Linked DNA regions of Tribolium castaneum. The protein of the gene in region 2 interacts with the protein of the main gene of each other region in a pairwise test. Links are inferred from orthologs where the notes say so. Each region holds a gene or a part of one and is shown on either strand. Other genes may lie near its edges.

Region 1 (3,506 bases), on a different chromosome or scaffold from region 2:
CAACACAACAGAAGAGTAAGTCCAACGCGTTTACGCAAAATTGGGCGTGGGAGTAATGAATTTTTGGGTTTCCAGATGGGTGGGCGTAGGACCAAGGGGCTGTCACGGAACGCGATAATGGCCCGCGAAAATCGCCTTAAAAAGAAAATCTACATCACAAATCTTGAAAAAGAAGTTGGGCATTTGAAAACCGAGAATGCTAATTATTCCAAAGTGATTGAAAGTCAGTCGTTGCTTATCGCTGATTTAAAGAAAGAAATCAAATACTTGAAAAGTGTGATTGCAAATAGTGCAGATATTGGCAATTTGATAAAAAATATCCACCACAGTACAGGTATGTCAGTCACAACATCCTTGGATCAGAGTTTATCTTTGAATGTTTCAAAGCCAAAGCAAGCTATAGCTAGAAAAACAGCACACCCATGGGAGGAAAAACGTTACCCGAGTTTTCCCACACCTGAATCAGATTTTCTCTCAAGTCCACACTCTGAAAGTGGATTGAATGATTTTACTGACGATCTGTTCAATAATATTGAACTTGATGATTTTATGGGGGTCACTGATACGATTCTAGACCCTGTTTCGAATGAAACGAGTGAGGAGAACTTGCATTTAAAAGAGCACAATTATACTACGAATGAAGACGAAGACGATGTTGGAGTATGTTTACACGTTTCAAGACACAAGGTCTCGCTAGAGTTTTGCGCCACCTGCAGCGAAAACGCCCAACAAGCCTGGAACGACTGAATTAATTTAAAATGTCTGTATCTAAGTATACTTTGTTGTCTATGTATAGTCAAACTCTTTCCTTGCACTTAGGATTAAATGTTATTGTTACTAGCTAGTTTTGTGGAATTCTGGAGTATTATTGTTTTTTTAAATTTTCAGGACCTTCACGGATTGGAGATTGTAGCTTCAGAAGGATTTGCAGTCCACCTTCTGAAACAAAAGGTGCGGTAGCGTCCAATTTTGGTAAATCCCAACTTCTGAGCATTTTTATTATTAGTGAGGAATCAGAATTTGGGATTGTCATTTGTTTTTGTTGAATTGTTATTTTCACGCTTTGGTCTGATTTCAGTCAAAGACGCAGTCAAGTCACTTCAGGGCTGTAACAATGACTGGAATAAGTAGAGTAACAAATGTATCGTTCCATGTTATCATATACACAATATTTCGTTCTAGAAATCGTATATTTTTTCTATTTGTTCAACTTCTACTAAACAAGTATGTTTTTGAGTTTCAGCACATAGCGCAGAGTCCAGGGCCGGGCCGCATTCCGGATTATTATAAGTTTTTTTATTTAATATTAGGTAATAGGTAGGTAGTGTAAGGAAAGGGTCAAATAAACTTTTGTATTTATGTTCCAACTGTCTTTATTCTACTTCCTTCCATTAATTAGCACAAACGTGTTTGTTAATCCAATTAGCTCACTGCACGTAACAAAAACTTGGCAAGTGTCCAGTCAGACCACTGGCAAGTGAAAAAGTTCACTTCGAGCGTGGCTTTCAACGTGGTCAGTTGCTTTTTAAATTTGACGGGCTTTTCGTGCGCGCGCAATGAATCAAGCACCAGTTTCGTGCCTTCCAAACACAAGCAAAATGTCTAAGGCTAAAAAGGTTTTAGACGAAGCTCGGGAAATAAGAAATCTCGAAATTGATTTGGCCGATAAGGCCATTTCTTCGTTCGAAGAAACACCAGGTTTACGTAAGTGGAATCACTCCTCGGCAAGGTTTTACCTAATTTGGTATCTTGTTCCACCTGGGTGGGCGTGGCCCAAAATTAACTAACATTCCCAAGAAAAATAAATAAATAATAATACAATTTTTTATCTCTAATAATGGGGAATAAGTTTTACTACATAGATAATAAGATAAATAGAATTATTAATAGAACACGGAACTGATTGATTTATTTTTTAGTTAATATGACTTACATTACCAGGCTTACGCTAAGCCACAACAAGATCAAATGTAAGTGGGTGCTTCCGCCCTTGGGCCGTAAACTAAAAACCCTTTTTAGCCGTACCGCCGGCTCTTGCAAACTTGACGAACCTCGAAATTTTGAACTTAACAAACAACCACATTGAGGAACTCCCCCTTTCTTTATCATCAATGCCAAAGTTACGAATTCTCAACTTGGCAATCAATCGTCTTTATAATCTTCCTCGCGGCTTTGGCGCCTTTCCAGTTCTTGAAGTTCTCGATCTGACTTACAACAATTTGAACGAAAAATCACTCCCAGGAAATTTCTTCATGATGGGTAATTTACAATTGGTTCCCTCCAAATGATTAATTTTTGATCTAGAAACGTTACGAGCCCTGTATTTGGGCGACAACGACTTTGAGTACCTACCTCCCGAGGTGAAAAATCTCAAAAACTTGCAGATTGTAAGCAAATATTTGACGTTATGTTATTTGAGGTGGGAATAACGGGGTGTTTCAGTTGGTTTTGAGGGAAAACGATTTGATTGAGTTACCAAGAGAGTTGGGGGAGCTGACGAGACTGCGTGAGCTCCATGTGCAAGGAAATCGCCTCACGATACTGCCCCCTGAACTCGGGAATCTCGACATGACGTCGAATAAGTCTGTTTTTAGGTTTGAAGGCAATGAATGGGTGGCTCCTATCGCGGATCAGTTGCAACTAGGAGTCGGGCATTTGATGGAATATTTGCGCTCAGAGGCTTACAGAATGTACGTTTTATAAAACTTTAATTTAGTTTAACGTTTGTTTTTCAGAACGTACAATCGCTACTCGACTAATAAACCACAAGTTCCACCACCTTGCGTCGACAAAGCGAAAAAAATATCGCGAATACGTTGAACTCGTGCCTTTTTTTACCTAATTAATTGACTAATTAACTAAAACGAAAAATACTGCCATTATACTAATTACGTTTTTTTTTATTTGATTTTTGTGGCCTTGGATGTACCAGCTTTAAGTAAAAATTAATTGTATTTTACAGTTTTTACAATAATGCAAATAAGTAAATAAATAATTAACGAAATTGTCAGTCTTAAAAACACTGCTCATCCTCCGTATATTCACTCTCATCGTCCGTTAAATCCGTCGTGTGGATCGACGTTTCGTACTCTAGAATTTCCTCATCACTCAAATGCGAATTGCCTTCCATAAACGACGCAAATCTGAAAAAAAACTTAGATGGCGCCACTTGTGCTAACTTGACCATAGACAGTAACCTATAGAACTCCTACGTATTTTTTGGAAACGCACGGAAAAAAAACGAAATTAAAAAAATTCTCTGTTGACTAATAGTCACAAATAATAAATTCATTAGATTATGAGAATTTGCAGCGTGCAAAGTTGTTATAAAATATCCTGGACATTTTGTGGAGTGGATTAAAAAGACGGGTAACAAGCTGTTATCAACTTTTTCTTAATCAGAAAGTGTATAAATAGCTACGCTGTCTGTTGACTTCATTTTACCAGCGTTGGGCAAAAGTGTGGACCCAAGCGTTTTTGCTTAAATTATGTGCCTTTCGAAAAAA
Region 2 (3,929 bases):
AAAAAAATAATAATATAGTCGTTTCTGTAAACGAAAAACTGTCTTTCTTTTTTTTTTCAAATAAACAATTGAGTTTTAGACTGAAGAAAGTTGCAATAAAGCGTCCAAAAAAATTAAAAGCTATTTAATTTCTCGAGTTTTTAGCACTATAAAGTGCACAACTGTTCAAAAATAACGCAATTTTCGATTGATTTTCGAGCAATTTTGCGAAATTGCTAGAACAAGAAAGAAAATCTTAGAAAAACAAAGTTTTTACCTCACAAAAAAGGTAAAATACGAGTATACCACTTTTTGAGATAATTTTAAAGTTTTTCGACTGATTATTGATAAAATTTAGCGAAAATTTCGACCGAATTTAGTGTTTCATCGATTTGTTTCCAACAAAATTCGAAATAATTACTGAAAAATTGAACTAAAAGCCGAAAAACGATCGGTTTTTATCTTAAAACCTTGTTTAAACCACCCCACTCCGCTTTTTTTCTGGTTATTTTTGGCTAACGCAAAAAAGGTCAAATCACACAATTTTCGCTCTGTTTTGGTCATTTATTGTCTTTTCCACCAAATTTTTGAGAAATATTAATAATAAAGTCTCTAAAAAATGTAAAATACGGACGAAAAAAGCAAAATTTATTTTTATTTTTGCCCCTATTTAGTAATTGTTCAAATAATAATAATAAATAATTTCGACTCAAAAAAGTTGCAATAAAGTAAACAACCGTTCAAAGACAACGCAATTTTCGACCAAAATTTTATGATTTGTCGGTGGATTTATATCAAATATCTCCCACAAAAAAAATAGATTAAAGCAGTAAAACATGTTTAAAATAAAATTTATTGGAAAACGTGCCAAGAGACTTAAAAAAAACAAAAAAAAACAAATTAATTTTTGACGTAATGTACTACTATATCAAACCGTTAGCTAAATTATCTCCAACTTTAAATAATATTATTTTACTTTTATGCAAAGAAAACGCACAAAAACGGCCAAAAAAGGCAATAAAAACATTTTTTCTTGCCTCACATTAAAAAAAATCCGCAGTTTTCACACCATTTTCGCTTTGACCAAATTTTTTGACGTCTATCTCACCAAATTTTGAAAAAAAAATTAATAATATAGTCGTTTCTGTAAACGAAAAACTGTCTTTCTTTTTTTTTTCAAATAAACAATTGAGTTTTAGACTGAAGAAAGTTGCAATAAAGCGTCCAAAAAAATTAAAAGCTATTTAATTTCTCGAGTTTTTAGCACTATAAAGTGCACAACTGTTCAAAAATAACGCAATTTTCGATTGATTTTCGAGCAATTTTGCGAAATTCGAAATAATTGCTCAAAAATTGAACTAAAAGCCGAAAAACGATCGGTTTTTATCTTAAAACCTTGTTTAAACGCTTGAAAAAGGTAGTATGAGGATCAGTTTCGATCTAATTTGGTGACTTTTCGGATTGACATTGAAAAATCTTGCAAAAATAACTCAGTTTTTAGCTCAAATACTCACCACCCCACTCCACTTTTTTTCTGGTTATTTTTGGCTAACGCAAAAGAGGTCAAATCACACAATTTTCGCTCTGTTTTGGTCATTTATTGTCTTTTCCACCAAATTTTGGAAAAATATTAATAATAAAGTCTCTAAAAAATGTAAAATACGGACGAAAAAAGCAAAATTTATATTTATTTTTGCCCCCATTTAGTAATTGTTCAAATAAATCATTGAGTTTTCGACTGAAAACAATAAAGTAAACAGCCGTTCAAAAACAAGGCAATTTTCGACCAATTTTGATAAAATTTCGCAAAATTGCTAGAAAAAGAGAAAAAAACAGCTCCACGTTCGCCTTTATTTAATTTTTCGAAATGAAAACCATTTCCTGTCATTATACTTACTGGCACTTGTGGCAGACGTGTTTCCCCGACCCTATGGCTTTAACCTTGGCATTGCATTCATGACATAAAGCCCGTCCTGCATTTTTAATAAATCCAGTATCCGCCAATTCCGTCTCGCACATCTCGCAACGGAAACATTCCGGATGCCAGCTGGCATTCATGGCCTTGATGACCCGCCCGATGATAAAATTATTACACTTTCCACAACACGGAGCAAAGAGAATCTGGAAATCTCTCTCGCAGTACTTGCGATCGTCATACTCGTAAAAAATCCCATCATCAAACTCTTGGAAGCACTGGGCACAGCTGGAGATTTTTTATTAAAAAAAAAAAAAAAATTAAAAAAAAAATACTTACACAAAACACTGCTGGTGCCACAGTTGTCCAGTAGAATTGACGATTTTTTCATGCGGCTCGAAACCGTCGCCACAACGGGCACACAGCATGTTGTCCAGAGACATGGTCGAAGTGACCCTAGAAACCAGCACTCACTTGTTTACGGGTTATACGATATGTTGTAATCTCTTTTCATTCGTCAAAAAACCACAATTAATAATAAATAAGAGTGAAAATTATTACGTGCGTGAAAAGCCATGTTGTTGTAAATCGGATTTGTCGATAAATTCGTAGTCAATGTCTTGGAAACTGCGATATTCCTCTGAAAGATCATCTTTCGAGTTGGCCCTTCTTTGAAACAGCCTACTTTGGGAGATTGAACCCAGTGATGGGATACTTGGGGACAAGTCTATTTTCGAAAACATTGATCTAATGTATGTCACACGAACACTCTAAAAGATTTTTCCCCTTGTAAACTACATCTAATCTATGGCTTAAATCAACAAATCGTATAGATATCGTCAAGTCCAACAAAACGTAATAGTAGGTCTAGTTATACGAGTGAGTGTTAGAAGCTTATTATAATAAAGGTAATAATTGTCAAAAATTCGTTACCACAACCGGAAACCACAGATAAATTGTGACTAAAGATAGTGTTTATGTTGCTAAGTGTTTAACTTTTCCTCTTAATTGCAAAATGACGTCACAAAGTAAATAAAAATATGACCTGGCACGAATCTCGTATTTTTTACATTTTTCGCACCATTTTTTCTTATGCAACGAGCGTATGCGAGAACTTTTCGTATGAGTGTTATTGATAGAAAATTTTATTTTAAAACACGTTGCTAGGGGAAGTAATTAAAACACTAATAGCTTTTTTGGTTATAATTTTTTATTTTTTCTATCAGTTTAATAAAAAATCCAAAGCAAAAGAATTTTTTTCTAATTATACTGACGTTTCTTGTCTTATCTTATCTTTTATGTATTGTACACTAATGTTTTATACTTTATTTCTTTTTTATAACGAGCTATGCAGTATTTTTATATTTATTATTATTGAAAATATTGAATTTTAGTGCAATTTTACGAATTGGAATAAAAAAAATTGAGTATTTGATCATAGAAAAAGAACTAAAACGTCCAGCAGCTTTATGGTGACGTCACATTAGATGGAAGAGTTAGGTGAGACACCCTGTATTGTAACTGAAACAATTGATTTTGTTTCAGCAGTTCCGATTTTGTGACTATAACACGTTCTTATCCAGAAAACAAAAACATGAATTAGAGATTATCAGTAATTACGGCATTATTGATAAAAAATGACCTTGACATACAAAACATAGGTCATTTTTTTAAGTGAAATTTCTAATACAAGTAATATGGGGGATCAATGATATACAGAGTGAATAATTTAGAACATACCTTGTACTATTAAGTACAGTAATAATGATACAACTTCCGGAATTAAACCAACCAACTAAAGAGGCAACGCCTACTTTTTAATGAATTACTTTAACTTTTAACAGTTGCGTAATACAACAGAATGCTTACCCTGGCATTGGAATTGGTGACATTTTGCTGTACAGTTAATTCCAACTCGTCGTAAGACCTGGAAATTGAAGAAAAAACACGATATGTAACTAATTTATTTCCAGGCCTACTGAAGAGAACAGGGGTTAATAAACTCAAAATAGCATTCCAGTCCTTACCAACAATT

Evidence for each region.
Region 1: the proteins of stck (region 2) and ics interact in a two-hybrid assay, tested with the Drosophila melanogaster proteins (3 studies listed by BioGRID). The link is inferred for Tribolium castaneum from reciprocal best matches to the Drosophila melanogaster genes stck and ics.

What each region holds. Positions count from the first base shown.
Region 1 is NC_087397.1:10,354,997-10,358,502, reverse strand, and holds ics (ras suppressor protein 1), read left to right. Parts: upstream 1-1,483; 5' UTR 1,484-1,556; coding exon 1,557-1,704; intron 1,705-1,919; coding exon 1,920-1,970; intron 1,971-2,019; coding exon 2,020-2,259; intron 2,260-2,304; coding exon 2,305-2,387; intron 2,388-2,442; coding exon 2,443-2,690; intron 2,691-2,735; coding exon 2,736-2,820; 3' UTR 2,821-3,004; downstream 3,005-3,506. Other genes in the region: uncharacterized protein LOC103315046, read left to right, coding at 1-15, 76-747; Nemp (nuclear envelope integral membrane protein), read right to left, coding at 3,014-3,143.
Region 2 is NC_087400.1:2,455,820-2,459,748, reverse strand, and holds the start of stck (LIM and senescent cell antigen-like-containing domain protein 1), read right to left. Parts: upstream 2,638-3,929; coding exon 2,456-2,637; intron 2,351-2,455; coding exon 2,234-2,350; intron 2,183-2,233; coding exon 1,877-2,182; intron 1-1,876.